Rattus norvegicus: one gene and its partners. The protein of the gene in region 4 interacts with the protein of the main gene of each other region in a biochemical or structural test. Links are inferred from orthologs where the notes say so. Each region holds a gene or a part of one and is shown on either strand. Other genes may lie near its edges. The genes, in order: Rptor, Mtor, Rps6, Rps6kb1, Pdk1 and Mapt.

Evidence for each region.
Region 1: of the proteins of Rps6kb1 (region 4) and Rptor, one has a biochemical effect on the other in vitro, tested with the Homo sapiens proteins (6 studies listed by BioGRID and IntAct, with this or other methods). The link is inferred for Rattus norvegicus from reciprocal best matches to the Homo sapiens genes RPS6KB1 and RPTOR.
Region 2: of the proteins of Rps6kb1 (region 4) and Mtor, one has a biochemical effect on the other in vitro, tested with the Homo sapiens proteins (18 studies listed by BioGRID and IntAct, with this or other methods). The link is inferred for Rattus norvegicus from reciprocal best matches to the Homo sapiens genes RPS6KB1 and MTOR.
Region 3: of the proteins of Rps6kb1 (region 4) and Rps6, one has a biochemical effect on the other in vitro, tested with the Homo sapiens proteins (4 studies listed by BioGRID). The link is inferred for Rattus norvegicus from reciprocal best matches to the Homo sapiens genes RPS6KB1 and RPS6.
Region 5: the proteins of Rps6kb1 (region 4) and Pdk1 form a complex in vitro, tested with the Homo sapiens proteins (2 studies listed by BioGRID and IntAct, with this or other methods). The link is inferred for Rattus norvegicus from reciprocal best matches to the Homo sapiens genes RPS6KB1 and PDK1.
Region 6: of the proteins of Rps6kb1 (region 4) and Mapt, one has a biochemical effect on the other in vitro, tested with the Homo sapiens proteins (2 studies listed by BioGRID and IntAct). The link is inferred for Rattus norvegicus from reciprocal best matches to the Homo sapiens genes RPS6KB1 and MAPT.

Annotation. Positions count from the first base shown.
Region 1 is NC_086028.1:105,631,943-105,635,442, reverse strand, and holds part of Rptor (regulatory-associated protein of mTOR), read right to left. Parts: intron 1,440-3,500; coding exon 1,322-1,439; intron 566-1,321; coding exon 425-565; intron 46-424; coding exon 1-45. UniProt on the Homo sapiens protein: Component of the mechanistic target of rapamycin complex 1 (mTORC1), an evolutionarily conserved central nutrient sensor that stimulates anabolic reactions and macromolecule biosynthesis to promote cellular biomass generation and growth.
Region 2 is NC_086023.1:164,272,485-164,275,984, forward strand, and holds part of Mtor (serine/threonine-protein kinase mTOR), read left to right. Parts: intron 1-166; coding exon 167-247; intron 248-2,752; exon of another isoform or gene 2,753-2,834; intron 2,835-3,352; coding exon 3,353-3,458; intron 3,459-3,500. UniProt on the Homo sapiens protein: Serine/threonine protein kinase which is a central regulator of cellular metabolism, growth and survival in response to hormones, growth factors, nutrients, energy and stress signals.
Region 3 is NC_086023.1:106,417,741-106,422,019, forward strand, and holds the start of Rps6 (small ribosomal subunit protein eS6), read right to left. Parts: upstream 2,801-4,279; 5' UTR 2,786-2,800; coding exon 2,780-2,785; exon of another isoform or gene 2,268-2,779; coding exon 2,136-2,267; exon of another isoform or gene 1,793-2,135; coding exon 1,582-1,792; exon of another isoform or gene 1,454-1,581; coding exon 1,307-1,453; exon of another isoform or gene 230-1,306; coding exon 1-229. UniProt on the Homo sapiens protein: Component of the 40S small ribosomal subunit. Plays an important role in controlling cell growth and proliferation through the selective translation of particular classes of mRNA.
Region 4 is NC_086028.1:71,837,691-71,841,190, forward strand, and holds part of Rps6kb1 (ribosomal protein S6 kinase beta-1), read right to left. Parts: intron 1,771-3,500; coding exon 1,713-1,770; intron 1,525-1,712; coding exon of another isoform or gene 1,482-1,524; intron 1,120-1,481; coding exon of another isoform or gene 1,078-1,119; exon of another isoform or gene 870-1,077; intron 325-869; coding exon 224-324; exon of another isoform or gene 1-223. UniProt on the Homo sapiens protein: Serine/threonine-protein kinase that acts downstream of mTOR signaling in response to growth factors and nutrients to promote cell proliferation, cell growth and cell cycle progression.
Region 5 is NC_086021.1:77,134,014-77,137,513, forward strand, and holds part of Pdk1 (pyruvate dehydrogenase kinase, isozyme 1 precursor), read left to right. Parts: intron 1-2,193; coding exon 2,194-2,304; intron 2,305-3,500. UniProt on the Homo sapiens protein: Kinase that plays a key role in regulation of glucose and fatty acid metabolism and homeostasis via phosphorylation of the pyruvate dehydrogenase subunits PDHA1 and PDHA2.
Region 6 is NC_086028.1:89,729,125-89,732,624, reverse strand, and holds part of Mapt (microtubule-associated protein tau), read right to left. Parts: intron 613-3,500; coding exon 397-612; 3' UTR 1-396. UniProt on the Homo sapiens protein: Promotes microtubule assembly and stability, and might be involved in the establishment and maintenance of neuronal polarity.

The DNA of each region.
Region 1 (3,500 bases), about 34 Mb from region 4:
TACTTGTACTGAGGTTCCCGGGAGAGAAGGCCACTGAGCTGCCCGCTGGCCAGAATATGACAGGAAGGAGGTCAGGGTCTGTCTGAGATGTGAGCTTTCTTCATAGTGGGCACATTTACACACACGTAAGCACATTAATAGACATGCGTATGCATAAACTGGTGGACCCTCTCCTTGGAACTGAGATCCTCAAAAGTCACACCCTGGCCTGACTGATCGGGTGTTAAACCAGGTCTTTGCTAAGCCCATGTCTGAAAGGAAGATTCTGACTCAAGACAGTTGGCCACTTGTCACTCTGACACATAAGACATCAGGGCCCATATTCTGGAGGGCAGGGTCAAGGGGCACAGTAGCATTTTTGATAAATGTCTTGTGAAGAGCACACTGACCCTTCCCATCCCAATTCTGGTTTCTGGAGTCTTACATTCTTCCGTCAAGCTCAGGTTCTGCAAAGATTTGTTCAGGTTCCTAGCTGTGGTGACGGCTCGGATGTTCCCATAGGAGCTCACTGACCGGAGTCTGGGGGTGCACGGGCTGTCTCGAACTGGAGTCAAGCTCCCTCCCTCTAGGAAAGAAGGGGAGAGGAAAGAGTTAGCAATGGCTGTCAGGATAGGAGCAGGGTGAATGCCTGGAGTCTGCAGACATGGGAACAGGGACAGTTGGTATTACTGAAACAAGAATGAATGTAGAAGGGCCTCCCTGTCCTTCACCTGTGTGAGTGCAGGCCTCAGTTGTAGACATGTGAGTACTAAATCCCAGGAGAGCATGGCCCGGAAGGCAAGAGTAGCTCTGAGGCTGTTCTGGTGTTAGGGGACTCGGCCAGAGACAGAGTGGTGCTCAGCACCCTGGGCCTGGCAGGCTGGCCCCAGCCTTTGGGCAGCCGCACCTCCGCCTTACGGCTGTCTCTGTGGTCTGGAGGGAGGGGTGAGGAATTAGGAACACAGATGACTGTACTCTCCAGCGAAAAGGACAAATGTGAGAAGCAACGCTTCCTACCCTGACTCATGGAAACACAAGGCCGACAGCCATGTGATTCACTTACTCATCGCAGGAAGACAGCTAATGTTCGTTTCAGTACGCCCCACTACAAGTTTGCCGTCTTTCAAGATGTCCCCAAATTTGAATTCCAAGAAGGGTAAGAAGGAAGGGAAGGAGTAAGAGGGTCAGCACGGCCCTTTCCCTTCTAAAGGTGTGAGACAACAAGAGCCAGGGGCCACCCACACTGCATCAGAAGGCCATGCTCAGACCTGGCTGAACTCAGGCCACTAATCATTCTGGTGAAGGCTGGGAAGGGGGCCCAGGCTCCCAGAAGCTGCAGTACCTGTGGCTGCTGGAGAAGGCAAGGGGTAGTTCTTTTCCTCTTCCATGAACTGCAGGGCCACAGTGCAGAAATTGCTCTCATATTGGACTACAAGGTGACTCAGAGCCACCACCAGCTCCTGTAGAGAGGGAGAAGTGACAATTATGTCTCCAGAGGCAGGAAACTGACTGGGCAGCAGATCCGCACACTAACGCCTAAGGCGACTCCAGGAAACAGCTGGTTAGAACAGGGCTGCACACCTGGCAGCACAGGTGCAGAGGAGGGGGGGAGTGTGGAGGCAGCAGGCTGATGAGGGGTGTCCCCAAAGCCAGGCACCTGCCTTAGTCTGCTTGCTCACTGCTGGGCACCAATCACTACTAGTCCAAGGCTTTCTGATGTGAATTCCATAACCTGGAATAGTTAAGATTAGGCCTCTGACCCTGCTGAGTCTGAAACTGCCTCTTTTGATCCCACCCAATGGACTGGTGGATAGAATTGATAAGCTGAAGCATTCTTTTTAATTAATTAATCAGTTAATTAGTTAATTAAAATTGATTATACATCCTGACCACACCTTTCCCTCCCTCTTCTCCTCCCAGTCCTTACCTCATCTCCCCTCATCCATTCACTTTTCTTCAGAAAAGGGGAGGCCTCCCATGGATACCAACCAGCCCTGGCATATTAAGCTGCAGCAAGACTAGGCCCATCCTTTCCTACTGAGGCTGGACCAAGCAGCCCAGTAGGAGGAACGGGTCCCCAAAGCAGGCAACAGAGGCAGAGGTAGCGCCTGCTCCTGCTATCAGGAGTCTCACGTGAACACCAACCAAAAAAACTAACATATGTGTGGAGGGCCCGGGTCAGTCCCATGCAGCCTTCCTGGTTAAACCAGATGAGGGTAGGACACAGGAAGAGACTACTGGGAGACATGACTACAGTCAGGAGATGGTAACGCAGTGGTGGTGGAGGTGGCAGTGCCATATCTCTAGGATAAGCTAGAAATGCAGGGCATAGGAATCTATGAAGGTGAAGCATTTTTGAAGTGAGCAATAAGCTAACTTAGCTGTAGTGGGTTCTAGTCACAACGAATGAGAAAAGTCCTTGAATTAAAATGTGACTAGACCTAAGCCCCGGAGTCTGAGGAGACAGGATTTACATGTAGTTTATGATAGCTTAGCATCTCAACTTAAATGTTTATAGACAGAAAGGCAAAAAGAAGCTCTCGGTAAAGAGAAAGATGTCTGCAGAAAACTAAGGTCTGCTGGAGAGGCCCTCGTGTGCTCCACACACCCACGCCCTGAGGCTGCTGAGGTGCTGCAGCCAGGTCTGTGGGCTGATGTTCTCTCACCTCAACTGCACACACTTTTTTGCTTCTCCTATCTCTCTGAGCTCCAGGCTGATTTTCTAATAGCTTTGTTTGTGCCCCAACTGCTTTTGCACTCAGACCCACTATAACTTCCCAATTACGCCCAGGGACCCATAGCTCATGCTGCTCAGGCCACAGGTTTGCACTGGTCTCTACTTCCCCTCCAACGTCCTCAGATGCTGAGGTAGACTAGACCAAAGGTGAGAGCCCACTGAGTCTTCACAGACACTGTCAACCTGAGGCTGGTGGCCCCCTGAAGCTGCCTGACCCATCACCATGGAGCTGATCCTCCTTATTTGTGCCAGGGATAAAGTTTCTGAGCCCACAAGCTGGTACCCACTGGGCCCGTCTGGGGAAGAAGTCTTCATCTGTCTTCAGAAACCTCACGTTCTCCATTCACTCCCACATACAGTGGAAGAAACTGGTGTTGCCATTGACGGTTACTCTAACACCAGCACTTTGGTTCACAAAAGGCCATCAGGGGTGAGCTTGTAACTTACAGAAAAGGTGGAACTCACACTGGAGTGTCCTGACTATGCCCAGGAAGGATAGAGACTCTGCATCTGCACAGAGCAACCCTTTGATGTCAGAAGGCATGTATTGAATATCCTCTGTTTTATCCAGAACATAGTGGTCTGCCCAAGGGACTCAGTTACAGCATGGGCAGTGCCTTCACTCAGTGCTCAGCAGTGGTGCCAGGGTGTGCACACTGGGACTGGCCTCACATACCCAGTGGTCCTGGGAGGGCAGTCTGTGCTCTACATGGCTGAGCTCTAAACCTGCACACTCCCAGCAGGACCGTTAGTCCTCCATGGTACTCCCAGCAGCCCCTGGTCT
Region 2 (3,500 bases), on a different chromosome or scaffold from region 4:
TGAGCCCGAAGGGAACCAACAAAGCTGCCTTTGAGAGGGGAGGGCCCATGACTTTTGCATTGTGTGCTGAGGGCAGAGACAGGTGCACAGGACTGTTAGCACTTAAGGTAAGTTTCATAAGAGCGGGGCAGCCTTGGACATACTGTTCTGCTCTTGTGTCTTTCAGTTGGAGATGGTTTGGTGAAACCAGAAGCCTTAAACAAGAAAGCTATTCAGATTATTAACAGGGTTCGAGATAAGCTCACTGGTGAGTGTTTGGTGGTTAAAGGGACATGAAGCCTGATGAGGAGAGTGTTCTCTCCGCGGATGGCCAGCCCGCTGTCCTGGGATTTATTTCTACATGGGTCACGAGTAGCTTTAAGGCAACAGTGGAGCTCCCCTCTGGCTCCTGTTGCTAAAGACCCTTAATATCACTTGACATCCTTTAACCTCATTAGCTCTGGGGATAAGGGGGCTCTGGTGGAATCTGGATGGATTCCAGAACCAGGCCTTGTTACTGGCCTCGTGGTGAGATACTGGAGAATGCCTGACCAGTTGGGTTGACTATGGCTACTAGCATGCTGTGGAAGGACGGAAGGGGAGCCCTGTCTGACTTTAGAAAGAAGCAACCAATCCAACTGATTGTCTTTCTCCTGTGAAGTGGGTCAGTTCATGGAGAGTGGGAGCCAAGTAGCCAGAGACCCCATTCCACATTCACTTCCTACGTAACCTCTGAACTCCTCCATTTGAATGATAATAAGAACATAACAGAGGAGATGAACGTCACAGAAAACATGGGATTGCAGGCACTGGGCATCAGCCAGTTCTGTAGTCAGGGTGCTTTATCAAGTCAGTCAATAAAGGACCACACAAGAAGACAGCCAGCTTCCCTGGCTTTTCAGGACTCAGAATCTATGGGAAAACATTATCACTACGTGGAGAACAGGCTGTGATACCTTGTGATGGCAGGGTTTGATTTAATGTGGAAGTCCCAGGAAAGTCTCCCTAAGGAAGCTACAGCTCAAGCTTATGTGCAGGAGTCTATCAGTTACATCTCTCCTGCTGCTGCTGAGACGCTGTGAGGGAGCGTCTGTTAGGCTGACAGCTTTCATGGTTAGTAACCATAAGCATCATGGCCATAAGCTGTCAGCAAGCGGCACGCTTGGTGTCTGAGCAGTAGCTGAGAGCTTACATCTTGATCTACAACTCTGAGGCAGAGAAAACTAGCTGGAAATGACATGGGCTTTTGAAACCTCAAAGCCCACCTCCAGCTACACAAGTCTTCCAGTAACACTACACCTTATAATCCTTCCCAAATAGTTTCATCAACTAGGACCAAGTATTCAGATGTATACGGGGACCATTCTCACTCAGACTTCCACAAGGAATTAACTAGAGGACACTAACATTATGTCAGGCAGAGGGACAAAGGGTGTATCTAGAACCCTTTGATGAGAGTGATGGTAAAAGGAAGGTCCCAGGCTGCCATTCAACCCAGGGAAAACACCAAGGCAGGTAGGTGCAATGGGAAGGGAACCAGGCCTGTTTTTTTTGTGTGTGTGTCGTGACACCACCTGCACTGGCTGAGTGGCCTTGCATCAGAAGGAGGGCATGTAAATGCTCTAATATGCACATAAGACAATGCAAGAGATCTTGAGGAAGGCAGGTCAAAGGCTGGGTTAGGGCTGTGGCTCAGTGGTAAAGTTACTGCCTGCCACTCACAGAACCTAGGTAAGAGCCCCAGTACAACGTAAAAAATAAAACCCACAAAGATGGCTGTTGATACATGAGAAATGAGAAGGTCAAAGATGACATCGGTGGTGACCATCTGAGAGCTGAGAGACCCGATAACCAGACTGAAGTTGTTGAAGAGAAGGGGATGGAGACAGAGACGGCTGAGATGTAGCAGAGCTCTTGAGCAGCTTCTGCAGGGAGGAGAGGACTAAGTGAGCAAACTAGAGGTCGTGGTGGGCAAGTCCTGGGGCTGTAACCATGGTACAAAAGGACCCTTCATCGAACCACACTCTGTGTCTCTAAGAAAGAGTGTGTTCACAAAACTGAAAAACCATGACGTAGCATAGCTTTAATGTCAGTGTTCAGAAGAGAGAGGCAAGCTCCACCTAGGGCTATGGGGACAGAGGAAGAGAGAGACCCTGTCTCAAATACACACAAACCAACAAACAAACACCTATAGGAAGGATGTCCTCACCCAACATAGCCCCAGGGCCTAGAACTGAACAGTGACAAGTGGAGAAACCCTATTTATGGAGATCTGGAAGACTTAAACAGTGCTCGTGGTACTAGAAAGGTGCTTTGCCAGATAGCTGTGGTGGCTCACGCCTGCAATCCCTGTAGAACAAGGCAGGAGAATCGCAGCTGGCTGAGTCCTAACCGTCAGTTCTAGGACTACTCAAATAAATAAAAATGTTACCGAGGGCTCTAATCGCCTGTCATCAGATCAGGCAGGTACAGCTACAAACTTCAGGCCAGCTGACACTACATGAAATCTCTCGCAAAACACTTCCCCATCTCAAAGAAAAGCTAAAGAGGCAGGATGGGCCTGGGGAGGTGGCTCTGTGGTGAAAAGCAGGTGTTTTCCTTGTGGGCCAGGTTTGATTCCCGCATCCATGTAGTGGTTCCTGACCATCAGTTACTCCAATTCTAGGACATCTGACTCCAGGTTCTGACCTCCCAGGGCACATGCATGGAGCACATACAGACATACGGGCAACACGGAGGCACATAAAGTTTAATCTCTAAAACAAAAACAGCCATGCTTGCTTCGGCAGCACGTAGACTAAAAGTGGGATGATACAGAGAGGATTAGCATGGCCCTGAGCAAGGAGGACACACAACGAACTCTGGGGGTGGGGGTGGGGGACCAAATAAATAAAATAATTAAAAGAATAAATAGAAATTTGTAGTCATGCTTGTGCATTATCTCTAGTAGACGTTTAGATATTTAGGAGTCTAGGCTATCGGTTACCATAGCAAAATGAATTTGGCTTAAAACAGAAGCACACATATTATCAAAGAAGCCCTACTAGCTGGTTAGGCTGCTGACTCTGTGTGAGGGCAAGATCTTAACTCCAGTGGAAACACTGATGAACGTGTGCAGTTCAAGCTAAATGCCCTTGGCCACTTCTCAAGTCTGGTTTTGGAGCAGCCCCATTAGCCACATCTTTGAACTGGGTCTATATTAAGGGACCAGTGTGCCTGCAGAGGACACGGAGGTGAATTTCTCAGTGCAGATGTGGTCTATCCTTCCTGCTCTAGTGATTCTGGCTACATAGACAGCTGAGCCAAGCCAAGCCAAACAAGAACATGGGCTGTGTTGTTGCCAAATGCAGATGACAGTATTTCTACTTTCTAGGTCGGGATTTCTCTCATGATGACACTTTGGATGTTCCAACCCAAGTGGAACTGCTTATCAAGCAAGCGACATCTCATGAGAACCTCTGCCAGTGCTACATTGGCTGGTGAGTGAGCCTTGCAAAGAAGCCTCATTGGCCAAGTGTGGT
Region 3 (4,279 bases), on a different chromosome or scaffold from region 4:
GAAGTAGAAGCTCTCAGCGAAGACAGCCTACGTCTCTTGGCAATCTGTTCCTGGCGCTTCTCTTTGGCTTCCTTCATTCTCTTGGCCAAAAGTTTAGCATATTCTGCAGCCTCCTCCTTGTTTTTCTTAGTGCGTTGCTTCTTCAGAGCAATACGTCGGCGTTTGTGTTGCAGGACACGGGGAGTAACAAGACGCTGAATCTTGGGCGCTTTGGTCCTGGGCTTCTTACCTAAAAATCCAGATGAGTAATCACTTAACATCCACCATGCTGGATGGCGATGCCCAGTGTATAACACACGCCTAGCACACCCAAGCCCAACTCAGTCCCCACCATCTACCCAAGGCCAGTGCTGTCCCCCAAACATAAGTATTACTCTGGCCCCATGGTCTGCATTGTTATAACCCCACCGTATTTTCAACTTCTCATTTATGTTTTAATCCTATTTTCAGTCCGTGCCTACTATTAGAAATTAACGGTATGTTATAAATTATTCATTTTAGCCTTTTGGATTTACACTCCTTACCCCACATTACAGGCCTCTCTAGAAACAGAACCCTGCTATCATCTCAGCTCAGACCCTTGTAAAATAAGCTGGATAGCCAAGTTCTGCTACAGTTCAGCCACTCTGAACTGCTCATGAGGGGATGATGGACCATTTTTAAACCTTTTGTCAACTAAGTTACACATTCTCTCTAATAGCACACTCTTAATACAAGTCAACAGTCCTGAGTTATTTGTATTAATATACATGCTATGCTTCCTACTGAAGCATTAACATTATGAGGGCTGGAGAGGTGGCTCAGCGGTTAAGAGCAGACTGTTCTTCCTGCTCTTCCAGAGGACCACAGTTCAATTCCTAGCAACTACATGGTGGATCACAACCATCTATAATGGAATCCAATGCCCTTTTCTGGTGTTAGAAGGCGCAACAGTGTACTCATATACATAAAAGCTTTAAAAAGTATGTATTTGTTCATACATTTCCCTTTAAAATGGGTGTTTCTCCTGATTTTCACAATCTATGTCCCAGAGATGAAAAATATGTGGAGCCATTCATTAGTAAATTAAAGTGGTTCTTCTGTAATCCAAAGCACCAACTTAGAGCCTGGTCCCTCCAAAATGTTGTCTCCTGCAAGTTGTCCTTTAACCCCCCCAACATACACACAAAGTGCTTTAAAAGTTTTTCATGTTAAAATGAGAATACTTTTGTAAAAAATCCTTGTCGCTCCTAATGCCGAAGCCATGAATTTAGCTGTGTGGCAAGCACAGCTGCAGCAATAGCACAAAGGCCCAAATCCCTGTTACCTTCTTTGTTTAAGGGCTTTCTGACAACATACTGGCGGACATCATCTTCTTTGGAGAGATTAAAAAGCTTTCGGATTCTACTAGCTCTTTTAGGTCCCAACCGACGAGGCACAGTGGTATCTGTCAGTCCTGGAATATCCTTCTCTCCTTGAAGAAACAATCGGAATTAAGACATCAAATCTGTCCCACTTTGGTCAATGCCCCACTACCTAGGAGGCAGAACCTTGTGTCCAGGACAACCAATTTCAACTAATAAACTCCAACAAAAGCCTTACCTTTTTTTACAATAACCAAGTTGAGAACACTCAGGTTGGCATCCACAATGCATCCTCGGACAGACTTGCGCTTCCTCTCTCCAGTTCTCCTAGGTCTATAACAAGAATGCCCCTTACTCAAAAGCAGGCGCACTCTGCCATGGGTCAAAACGCCTTGCTTCATGGGAAAACCTTGTTTGTCATTCCCACCGCTGATCCGGACCACATAACCCTGCATCGAACATAAAACGGTACATTTACCAGTTCTGTTCCAAAGTGTGGTTCTTAACTTCTTGTGTGCAACCCCATTAGGAAGAACAACTGAGTTCAACTTCAGCCACTCACTTTTTTGTCTCCGTTTCCAACTAAGGTCAACAAGCAATCTCTCCATTTCAACTTCTACTCCTAACTACCCAGGTCTTACTACAACACGCAAGACTTAAGGCCTTGAATTATAACAAGCAAGAGAGACTCCTCTTGGCACGTTTCCCCAAATTTGATTCTAGCAATGAAACTTAACCAAACCCAACAGCACTTGCTGTGACGAGTTGGGGTAATGATGCCAAAAACTTTACCTTCCACTCTTCACCAAGAGCATCAGCAGCTACTTCTGTGGCCATGCGCTTCTCATAGAACGTACGAAGCTTGCGTTCGTCATCCACTTCTATGAGTTTCTGACAGCCAGTGGCAGGGAAGGAGATATTCAGCTAGGATTTTAAAGGGGGCAAAAGAAGACGACTTTAGGCACCTACACAACTTCAACAATTCACGTGCGCAGAACGTTTTGAGCAGCTCCCACACACAGCAGAAAACCCACGACTCGGACTCGCAGGCCCTGCAAAGTGCCACACGTCAATGGAACATTTTGCCAAAGCTCTGTAGAATGCTATGAGGACGTCAGAGCATTCACCCTCGCGATCTCGGATAGCAGAGTGTCCAGGAGGGGTCAAATGCCGCGGGACACCCGCTGCAAGTGGGGCTTCAGGCCCGCATGTGCCCGGTCGGGTACCGGGCGCCGCCATTGCTCTACGTCCGCTGTCGCGGCGTTGCAATCGCCCGCCATCCGCTCTCCCAAAGGGTCCCAAGGCCCTAAAAGCAAGCTTCCTCCTGCCTCAGACCCTTCCCCGCTTAGTCCGGGTTTTGTGAAAGCCTGGGGCTGAGGCAGTCCCGCGTTCTGGGACTCGAACTGCTTCACTCAGTCCCAGTCAGGGACGCCTACCTTCATCTTGACACAGCCGACCGCCTAGGAGGCGTCACGAAAAAGAGGCCCGACTTCCGCTTAGCCCAGGTCACATAGCACTCTAAGTTCTCGCGAGAATAGCCCGAGCTGGAGCCGGCGGAAGTGAGTTGAGGTGGGTGGTACTTCCGGGGGCGGTACTAGCCGGAATAATGTGAGGCTGGTTTGTAGTGAGGTGTTGGTTGGTATTCTGGATGTTCCCGGTGACAGGGCAACTTGTTTATCACGAATGTTAGCCGCTTCTTAGCTAATTTTTCCCGTTTCCGACCAGACTGGTCCACTGAGGAGCCGAATCCCCGTTTCCGACCATGGTTTTTAGTAGTACCTAAATGGAAAAGCTCGATCAGAATTGTCGCCCGGGCTGGCCTGTCCCTCATCTCTGCGGAAGATTTCCAGTTCAGGATCTTGTCCTGGTCCCAGCGGTTGACGGGAGAAATCTTGAAAGCCAGGCTTTGTTCTGCATCGATCAGAGTGACTCCTATAGTCGCCGGACCGCAGAAGACAAGCAGTCCAGCCGATCCATCACGTCTACCTGGCACAGACAACTATCAGATGCCTCAGTCTTGAGCCTTTCGGCTTTCTGTTTTCTTCTGCCAAAACTTTCTGCTTTGTAGGTGGGGTGAGGGTGACAACTCAGATCGGAGATTGAACCTAGTCTCCCGAGTGTCACTGTCATCTTCAGCTCTTTTTCAAAACAACACCATTTCTGTGCTTCTCTTGTTTACTGCAGTTACATGCTGTTCTGTCCGAACTCAATTTTTGAGACTAAGTGTCTTTGTATAACTCTGGCTGTTCTGAAATTCCCTATGCACACCATACTGGTCTGCTTACTACTGTCACCCATTTCTGACAATGAAATATTGATTAAGCCCATCATGCGATGGAATCAAATGGGAGTTGCCTTTTTATAACTGGCTGGTTTCATTAAATGTAGTCTTTAAGGTTTATATTTTATTGTATGATGGAATTTTCTTTTAAAGGCAGTGTGTGTGTGTGTGTGTGTGTGTGTTCACATTTTTGTGTACTGATTCTTTTGATGAACATTCAAGTTGCGTACACAACATCCTTGAGTATGAATGCCTCAAGCCCTTTAGACATTAGAAGGTGTCTGATCCCTTTGAACTGGAGTTACAAATGGTTGTCAGCTGCCATGAAGGTTCTGGGAATTGAATACTGGTCCTCCGTTAGAGTGGCTACTAGTCTTAACCACTGAGATGTCTCTCTAGACCCTGTTACCTATTATTTTTAAATTTTGGATTGTTAGACCTGCCATTAGTGACTGCCTCTAACCCCTGCGCTATGGAAACAGAAAGACAATTTGCTACAAGTTCTTGGCAGTTAGGTCTATATAGTAAATTCCAGGGTAGGCAGAAATACATACAGTCTGAAGCAAACAAGCAAACAAATGAGATTGGGCTTGGAGAAGCTTGCATGAGATATTGTATATTCTAGAGGCAGGCTTTCACTCTGCAGCCCAGGCTG
Region 4 (3,500 bases):
TTCTTTTTTTTAAGTTGTAAAGAATGGCTAATGTGTTTAACTATTAAGCTCAATCATGAAACACTAAATACTTAAAGTACTGGAGAAAGTACTGTGATGCTATATATTCTAAGGGGAAATATATTTAACAAGACAGAGATAAACGTGGGAGCCTTGAAAATGGCCATCATCTGTGTGGAAGGACTGTACGCTGACTATTTACTACAGAATTGTAAATCTCCACCTTGGTGATTAAGCATGATGTTCTCCGGCTTCAGGTCTCTGTAGATGATCCCTTTTTGATGTAAATGCCCCAAAGCCATGGAGATTTCAGCCAAGTAAAAGCTGGAAACAGAAGTGATTTAATAAAAATTTAAAAAGTAATCTATCCAAAGCAGTTTATGTATGGAACAAAATTCCTTGAAAGAAACAGACATGCACCAAAGACCAAATTAGCAGGGGCAAAAGAATGTACTGGGAAAAGAGATGGCACAGGATGATGCCACAATGAGGGAGACATTTGTCACTCATTTTAGTCAAGCTATACCATGTTTTAATTTTTCCATTAGAACATAGTGCTAAAAGTGCAAAGATGTCCAGTCTAGTCTATTATTGATTAGGTTCTAATCTCTCTATGTAGGAATTAGGCCAACAGTCATTCAATCAAACAAATTCCTCCCACCCTCCCCCATATTTAAGATTCCATAGGAAATAGGGACTTTATTATTCTAAGAGATCAAGTCTTGGTCCTTATGGCCTGACCTGTAGAAGCCCACTCATCCCTTACATAACACGGCCGTGTATTAAAGACAGCAATGCCCACAGTATCTACCCACCCTCTTGCCAGCCAGCCCACAACTATAAACTGTGTGACACTCAAATTTATCTACCTCAAAAGAACAAAGGGCTGAGTCAACCCTGTGTGGATTCGAAAAGCACAAAGCACTGCAATACTGGCTGTGTAACAAGGCTGCAATCCTGCAGAGTACTCCAGGATGGAGAGGGTGTGTCCTAGAGGGCTGAGGCAGTTTCACAGCTAGCAGGACCACAGCCTCCACAGGGCTCAGAGAGCCTCCTCCAAAAAGGGGCACTTCATCCCTAAGGCTCTTTCTTAAATGCAGCTTCTGTGTTAGAAAAGGCCTGAAATTAAACAATGGAATGCAGTTCGGTAATTAAGATAGAAAAAACATTTAAGTGTTTTCTAGTCAATTAATGTGTAGGTCAAACTGTTTTACTGTTACCCAATACAGTCACTTCACAAAAGGATGTGTATATTTTTAATTTGAAGCAGATGCCATCTTACGAATAGGAGGGCAGATCCCATCCTGGCTATAAAATCAATCCACAGATGTATGCTCAGGGTTACCACCTCCCTAAGACTGCACCTGGGGAACTGGAAAGTCTAAAAAAAAGAGGAGATGATTTCTGATACTTTCCATTGCTCCACATACAAAATTTCACTGGAAAACCACACTCACCCACAACCAAGGCAGGCAGCTTACCAATTCAAGGAAATTCTGCAGTGAAGAGCGGTCCACCCAAGGCCTGGGGGCAAAGGAATCACGTGACCTCCAACAGCTGCCCAGTCCCAAAGGTCCCCCTTGATGTTCTGAGTGACTGACTGCCTCCAGATCAACTTACTGAACCGTGTGGCTGCCCACAACGGGAAGGTAGGTTTGCTTTAATTACATGAGTTATTACCTGAGTCCATACAACCACAAAACTCTACTTACCAAGCTGTATCTTCCATGAATATCCCCTCTCTTTCTAACTGCATAAATAGTTCTCCTCCTATAAAGAAAGGAAAGGTATTAGGAATAAATATCTTTACTTCCAGACCTTTTCTAATAAATTTTTACTTTCTTCTATTTATAAGACTGACTCCTTAAAAACTAAAAAACAGGGGCTGGGGATTTAGCTCAGTGGTAGAGCGCTTACCTAGGAAGCACAAGGCCCTGGGTTCGGTCCCCAGCTCCGAAAAAAAAAAAAAAAAAAAAGAACCAAAAAAAAAAAAAAAAAAAACAAAAACAAAAACAAAAAACTGCTAAAAACTGAGGTTTCAAGTCTCCAGGAAGCAATTTTTAGCAGCATTGTTATTCTATAAAACATCTAAGTTTAGGAACTAAAACTGGCTTGAAATTACAACTTTTGCACCTGCAAACTTCAAAATATATAGATTTCTAGCCTGAAGCTGAAAAAGTCTTTATTAAAGCCTCTTTAGTACTTTTTCCATATGTAAAAAAGTTAGTACACAATTAAGTCACCTAAATTTTACTGAATATGATGTTCCTTTTTTTCAGAACCCTTACATAAACAAAATGAACTTAACATCGACATAATTTGAGTATCAGATAGTATAAAGGGTTATACTGTAACATTGAGACTCCCATGATGATGTAAATAGATGAATAGATATGGCTTTCAATGGCAAACAGAACTCTGCACTGCAGGAGAGCACCAGGCACAGTGATAAAGGAAGGTGGCAGACTGGAGGAAGAAACTGCTTGGCAAACACGTTAGCTGTTACAGTTAGGAACACCAACACTGGACCGGGAAGCCTGATGAGAGGAGACTCTGAGGTAATCCCAAAATGTCTCCTCCGGAGACACCTGCAGACATCATGTGACCACAATGAACATTAACGGCAGTGGGACAAAAAGATCTAAACACCATGCACCCCTGTTCTGAACGCTGAGAAGGAACACGGTGTCACTTGGACAGTTCTGTCAAAACGCATAACCTGGATCTATTCCTAAAGAAACATCAGACAAACTCAAATTGATGGCATCCTACAGAAACTGGGCTATACACATTTTAAAAAATGTCAATGTGACAAAGACAGACTAAGGAACTGTTCAATATTAAAGAAAACTAAGTTATTATTGTAATAACTAGTTACATAAAAAATGTCCTTGAACTTAGAAAGTAAATGCTAGAGTTTTATTTATATAAATCTTTGAATAGTACAAAAAATGTTGACTGTGTATGTGTGCATATGTATGTACACACACGCATATGCATGAAGGAAGATAAGCAAATACAGTGAGATGATGGAGTGTAGAGGATCTAGGTGAGGGGTAGGAATTCCGCACTGTCTGGAGGATCTGGGTGAGGAACCCTGTACTACTCATAATAAGTCACAAGATAAGCAGCATTAACAAAAGGAGTGAAACTGTGAAGCTCTCAGACCCATGGGCATTCCAGGCCTGGTGGCACAAGCCTTTAATGTTAGCACAGGCAATCTCTCAGTTCGAAACTAGCCTTGCCTACATAGTTGAGTTCCAGGACAGCTAGAACTGTATAGAGATCTTGTCTCAAAACAGAAAAAGAAAAAAAAAAAAAAAAACAGAAAATACCAAGTGTGTGTGCACATCTGTGCTGTAGATATGATTCAGGAACCACATGTAGTAGTTCAGACTTGTAGTAACCCCAACATACAGGCGGCTGGAGCAGGAGCAGGACTGCCAGGAACTCAAAGGCAGCATAAGCTACACAGTGAACGCCAGGCCAGCCTGGTTTGC
Region 5 (3,500 bases), on a different chromosome or scaffold from region 4:
TCAGAAGCTCTGGGGTTGCTGGCAGTACTACTCTACACTTAGATTTATTTCACGTGTGCTCGTATGTCCACGTACTGTGTGCATGCCTGGTGCCCATGGATATAAGAACCTCTTCAGATCCTCTGAAATTTGAGTATGAATGGTTCTGAGCCACCACGTGTGGGTGCTGGGAACTGAACCTGGGTCCTCAGCAACAAGTGTGCTTAACCTCTGAGCCATCTCTCTAGCACCCCTCCCTTCTTTATCCTAATGTCTGTTGTGACATACCACTCACTTAAGGTTTCCAGTGCACCCTCACTTCTTACCGGGGAAGTGTAGCCAAACATTGAACTGATCATCCCAGAGGGTTTTAATTCATTGTACTAAAATACATAATTCCACAGGCCTTTGAATTCACAGCCAAGAGCAGTTTAAAGCATAATTCTAAACACAGGTTCTTTAGAAAGTCCTTCCATGCTTCGATACTGTAGTTTCTTAGTTCTAGCTGTTTGTGAGGCAGAGCTTCACATGATATATCTCACAGCAAATTTTTCAACTTTGAAAATCAAAATAGGGGCTGGGGAGATGGCTCAGCAGTTAAGAGCACTGGCTGCTCTTCTAAAGGTTCTGAGTTCAAATCCCAGCAACCACGTGGTGGCTCACAACCATCAGTAATGGGGTCTGATGCCCTCTTCTGGTGTGTCTGAAGAAAGCTACTTACATACATAAAGTAAATAAATCTTTAAAAAAAAAAAGAGAAAGAAAAAGAAAATCACAATAGGGCTCTGAGTGTAGCTTCTAGTATGTGGGAGGTGCTTGGTCCAGTGCCTTACACCCTTAGAAAATGAAAACAGCTATATAATTCTTAGTATGTTTCTAGTATATATACATTATCATCTTAAACAATATATGAAATCTCAACTATAAGCCATTTACGGTATAACTTTTTTGTATCTGTTATTTACACTTATTATGTTTATGCTAAGAGCATATTAATAACATCAACTTAGGTCTATGACAGAAGGGGTATCTATAGTAAATTAGGATATAGGCTAGGAAGGTAGACTATACTAACTATATAGGAAAACAATAAAAATAATGGGTAAGTTAATTACTAATTCAATCTACCATGTGGTTACTTGGTTTGAAAAATGACAGAATAGGAAAGATGTGCTTCCTTTAACTCACCAGAAGGTTGTCTGGGATCCTGTGTTGCAAAGTTGCATTTATTTGTTGTGTCTCCGTGTGTTGCACAGGTGTGGAGGTCAGAGGTGGCACAGGGTGATGCTCATTCCCTTATGTGCACTCCCGGGATTGATGTGCACTTCTGGGACTGATGTGCACTTCCAGGATTGATCAGGTCCTTGGCTCAGTGCTTTTACCATTGGGTCATCTCGTGGCCCTTAGTTTTGTTTCACTGAGACAGAATGCACAAGCTAGTCTTTAATTATGGCAATCCTCCTGCCTCGGCCTCCTGTATGCTGAGATTGCAGATGTGTAGCACCACCTGCAGTTTAAAGAAAGAGACTCAATTAGTTTATCTGTACGTGCCTGTGGGTTACGTTTATACGGTGCCCGTGGAGGCCAGAAGAAGGTGTCAGATCCCCTGGAACTAGAGTTGTTTATGGTTTTGAGCCACCATGTAGGAGCCAGGAACAAAACCCAGGCCTTTGCAAGAACAGTCAGCACTCGTCACTGCAGAGCCATCTCTCCAGCCCATTTCCCACTTCTGTTTGATAATATATCTTCAGAGTTAGAATCGTGAGTGTTTCTGACTTGTTTTTTGTTGGCTATTTTTTGTACACCTCTCTCTTGCTAATACATAAGAGTGTTGTACAGAACATTTAAATGACTACGTGGCATTCTGCTTTAGAATGCACTTTCTGTAGCCCCTGTGTGGGTTACTCTCTGCTTTTTCTTAAATCCATGGTGGGCATTCTCATGCGTACTTCACCTACATTAGTTTTTTTTTTTAGGATAAACTTAAGATGTGGCACTGATGTGTCTAGTATCTTTGCTCTTTTTAAATTTTATTCCGGTTATCATATTACTGCTAACCAAGAAGGGTTAACCTTGTGTTAGCTACACCGTTGAGGGCAGTGTTCACATTTGCAGCCTGGATTTCCAAAAGCAGCGTTCTCCCCACAGTCGTCTTTAAATCACGATACCGTACCGTGTGGGACCCGGTCACAATTTGATCCTTTCTCCTCTTAGATGAGTGACCGGGGAGGTGGTGTTCCGCTGAGGAAGATCGACAGACTCTTCAACTACATGTACTCAACTGCACCCCGGCCTCGTGTTGAGACGTCCCGTGCGGTGCCCCTGGTATGTGACACAGAAAGACTGTGGTGACCGTCAGCCACCATCAGAATGTGGCTTCCCCAAAGACACTTAAGTCAATTTCACAGGAGCTCACAAGGAAGGAAAATGTTTCAAAACTTTAGGGGCAAATACTTCTATCTGAATTTAAAGAGCCCTGGGATTAATTTTTAATTGAAACAGGCACAAGACAGATGATAGTTTGAGGTTTTTCTGGTACTCTTGGTCGTGACATCACAGCAGCCTCTTCTGTGGCAAACCATATGTACCTGTCTATTTCAGTATGAAGACTCCCTGTGGATTGTACCAGTCATGTTTTCCTTCAAGTACTTATATCTAGAAAGACCTCATTGGCAGATAGAACTGAAGGTCTCCTCTCTCTCTTTATTTGTGTTCTTCAGTTCACCCAAGGTTGCCTCCAATGCCCTGGTATTAAAGGCATATGCCACAGTGCCCAGTTTGTTTACATTTTTATTATTATTTTTGTTTGTAAGTGTATGAGTGTTTTGGTTGCAGCTCAGCCCTAGGACAGGAGAAAGCTGGAAATTGGGTCGTTGACTTGGAAGGCCACCTAGAAACGGTGGACTATAAAATAATTAGTACTAGCATGATGGTTCCATGAGAAGAATGCCGCCTTCTAACACAGACGGCATCATTTGATCCCCACATCCCAGGGTGGCAGAAGAGAGCCAACTCCTGGAAGAGGTCCTCACTTCCACACACAGAGCGCTATGCACACATACCTGCACTCATAAACACACCAATAATAGTAATATAAAAAATAATCAGTGGGAGAAAAGGCCAGAGCAGTGTTAGTGACTCTTCGGTTTGCATAAACGTGCTGTGAGGAGTACCACCCAAAGCATGGCTCGGGGATGGGAGCCATTTTTACCTCTTCCCAAGTGTCTGTAGAATTTCCTAGGTAAAGAAGGACCAGATACTGGAAACAGGTTGAACAAAGACCCAGTCCTGGGTTTAAGGAAGTCGGTGAAGGAGATCGGCTCCACTAGACAGGAGAGCAGGCAGAGACCTGATCTTGTCTTGGACGTTTTTAGAAGCTTGGCTCTTTCTCTCTGGGGTGGGGAAGTCCTGGTATGCTTTGAAGATTTTGGAGCAGGGAAGTGATCTGTCAGTGATAATAAGAAAGCGACTATTACAGATTATTTCCAGGTTCAGAACAAAGGCTGGGCATCCATAGTGTG
Region 6 (3,500 bases), about 18 Mb from region 4:
AGCCAATCCCCAGAAGCAGCCTCCATCCAAAGCCTCCTTCACCCTCTAAAACTCAGAGGGGGGGGGCGGGGTCAATAACAATTGCCAAGGAAATGTTGGGTTTTGTTTGGCCATGGTTTTACGTGTTTTTTTTTTTTTCCTTCCTTAAAAATATTTTATTACTAGCCCACAAATCAATTTGGAAAGATGAAATTTACTTTTTCCCATCACTGATTTTGAAGTCCCGAGCCAAACCCGAGCCACAAAAGCAGGTTAGGTGACAAGCTGGTCAGCCTGTCTATGAGGAGCAGCGGGGAGGGCAGAGGGTGAGGGGCCAGGTCATTCTTTTTTTTTTTTTTTTTTCCACACTCTCACTCTCTCTTCTCTCCATGATCAGTGACGGCCCCAGGGGCCTGATCACAAACCCTGCTTGGCCAAAGAGGCGGACACTTCATCGGCTAACGTGGCAAGCTGTGGAGAGTCCACCATGTCGATGCTGCCCGTGGAGGAGACGTTGCTGAGGTGCCGTGGAGATGTGTCCCCAGACACCACAGGTGACTTGTACACGATTTCTGCTCCATGGTCTGTCTTGGCTTTGGCATTCTCCCTGAAGGTCAGCTTGTGGGTTTCAATCTGCAAGAAGTAGAGGGTGAGATTAATGAGAAGGCCGGGGGAAATTCGATTGTGGGGGTAGGAAATCATTCATTCATTCATTCATTTTGTTTTTGTTTTTAAAACGGGGTTACTCGTGCTGGAGAGATGGATGGCTCAGGACTCCTGCCAAGGTCCTGAGTTCAATTCCCAGGAACCACATGGTGGCTCAGGATCACAATCTGTAATGGGATCCGAGGTCCCCTTCTGGTGTGTCTGAAGACAGCAATGGTGTACATAAAATTAATAAAGTAAATCTTTTTTTTTTTTTTTTTGGTTCTTTTTTTCGGAGCTGGGGACCGAACCCAGGGCCTTGCGCTTCCTAGGCAAGCGCTCTACCACTGAGCTAAATCCCCAACCCCAATAAAGTAAATCTTAAAAAAGAAAAAAAGACAGGGTTTCTCTGTGTAGCTCTGGATGTCCTGTAACTTGTTTTTTTTTTTTTTTTAAAGATTTATTTATTCATTTATTATATATAAGTACACTGTAGCTGTCTTCAGATACACCAGAAGAGGGCATCGGATCTCTTTACAGATGGTTGTGAGCCACCATGTGGTTGCTGGGAATTGAACTCAGGACCTCTGGAAGAGCAGTCAGGTGCTCTTAACCGCTGAGCCATCTCTCCAGCCCTGTAACTTGTTTTATAGACCAGGCTGACCTTGAACTCAGGGCTGCCTCTGCCTCCCAAGTGCTGTACCACCACGCCCTGTATTTACTTATTCTTATAAGAGGCTCTCATATAGCCCAGGCTGGCCTGGAATTCCCTATCCAGCTGAGGATTACCTCGAACTTTGGATCTTCCAGCCTCTTTGTCCCCAAGGCTGAAGTCACAGGCGTGTGCCACCACACCTAGTGTATGTAATGGTATTGTCCAGCCCAGGGTTTCCTGCCTGCTAGAAAATCACTCTACCAACTAAGTTGCATCCTCAGGAGCCACCACCTACTTGTTTTTGTTTCCCAATTAGCAATAGTTGTGCGTGGTCCATCCCACACCTGGCTGCCCAATGACTGTCACCATTGCTTCTGTGTTCTTTAAATATTCCACACCTATAGAAACTGATATGAGGGCTGGAGATCTGGCTCAGTGGTTAAGAGCACCGACTGCTCCTCCAGAGGTCCTGAGTTCAAATCCCGGCAACACATATATTTAACCCATATGGGACAATATCCATAGGGCTTTGCATTTTGATTTTCACACTGGATACTTGCTTCATTATTGTCCATTAATTTTTGTTAATATACCTATTTATCTACAGTGAGGAAGGATATCAGTATGTAGCTCTGGTCTGCTTGGAAATTACTATGTAGACCAGTCTGGCTTTCAACTCCAGGAGATCTGCTTCCTGAACATAAAGGAATTTTAATCCAGCAATGTGGCTGCTCTGATCATATCCAAAGACCTTCTAGGTTCTGTGTGATCTAGATGGAATACACACATACCCTTAGTACACACCTCTAATCCCAAACAATGAAGGTAAAGTTAGTTTGTAGAAGGAAGCAGACATGTTTGAAAGTGATGTCCAATTGAGGGACAGACAAAGTGACGAAGCAGAGGAAGATTTGACAGAATGAGTCAGAGATAGGATATGCCTAACTCTCACAAGAACAGAGAGGAAAGAGAGGCAACTTGTGAGAGCAGGGGAAGAGAGAGGGAGGAGGCAATTTTACCAGGAGAGTTTTATAGAGACAGGTTGAAGAGAGAACCAACTAGACACAGGTGAAGGCAAAACAAGCCAGAGAAAAAAAGGAGCCAGAAGATTAAAATAGACTGCCAGAGTTAGAGGCCAGGCAAAGCAATTCAGTGAGAAGCAGAAAGACGTCAGTTTGAATCAGTCAGCTAGGAGAGTAGGTTTGAGCCAGCCAACCAGAGTTCAGAAAGAACAAGAAAGGGTGAGCCTATGCAGCAGTAAGTCTCAGAGGCTGAAAACACTCTAGGCCTAGATTACATTGTACAGAGACTGGAAGCGTCTGGGACTAGGCTTAGTTTAGCAGACTGACACAATAAGCCTCCAAGATAACAATTACATCAAGCCAATGAAAAGTACATTTACAGTAGAGCATGTGCTTAGCATGCTTGAGGCTATGGGTTCTATCCCCAGCACAGATAGATAGACAGACAAATAGACAGACAGACAGACAGACATTACATTTGTAGGATACACTTAAACACAACATGTAAAATGTGTGAGGTCACTCAAGGTTATTCATACTCAGCATTATTTGTAACTTGAGAAAAATGGAAGAGCCTCCACAGGCATCAACAGGGAGTAGGTAGATCCTGAGGTGGGCGCTGCAAAGGTACAGCCACTGGCATGTAGAAGCACTCTGGAATAGCAAAATATTATGGCTGGCACACACCTGTCATCCCAGCAATTGAGAGACTGAGGGACAGCTGGTTCCTGGCCAGCCTGGGATTAATAGTAATATCTTGCTTCAAAAAAAACAAGCCGGGGCTGGGGAGATGGCTCGGTGGGTAGGAGTGCTTGCAAAAGTTTGCTCTGCCAGCACCAAGGCCTGAGTTCCTTGGCGCCTAAGTTAAAAAAGCAGAGCATGGTGTGCATGCTAGCCTGTAACCCCCACATTGAGGGGTGCAACCAGATATATCCCAGGAGTTCACCGAGCCAGCCTAGCAAGCTCAGTGAACCAGCAAGCTTCCGGTTCAGTGAGAGACCCTGTCTCAAGAGTGAAAGGGGAGACACCTGATGTTCTGCTCTGGACTCTGCACATCGTGCATGGCTGTGCTCACCTGTATGCTCATGTGCATGTAACACACACATGTGCACACACACACACGCACACACATGCGCGCGCGCACACACACACACACACACACACACACACACACACACAGAACATAGGTGGGGAACAAT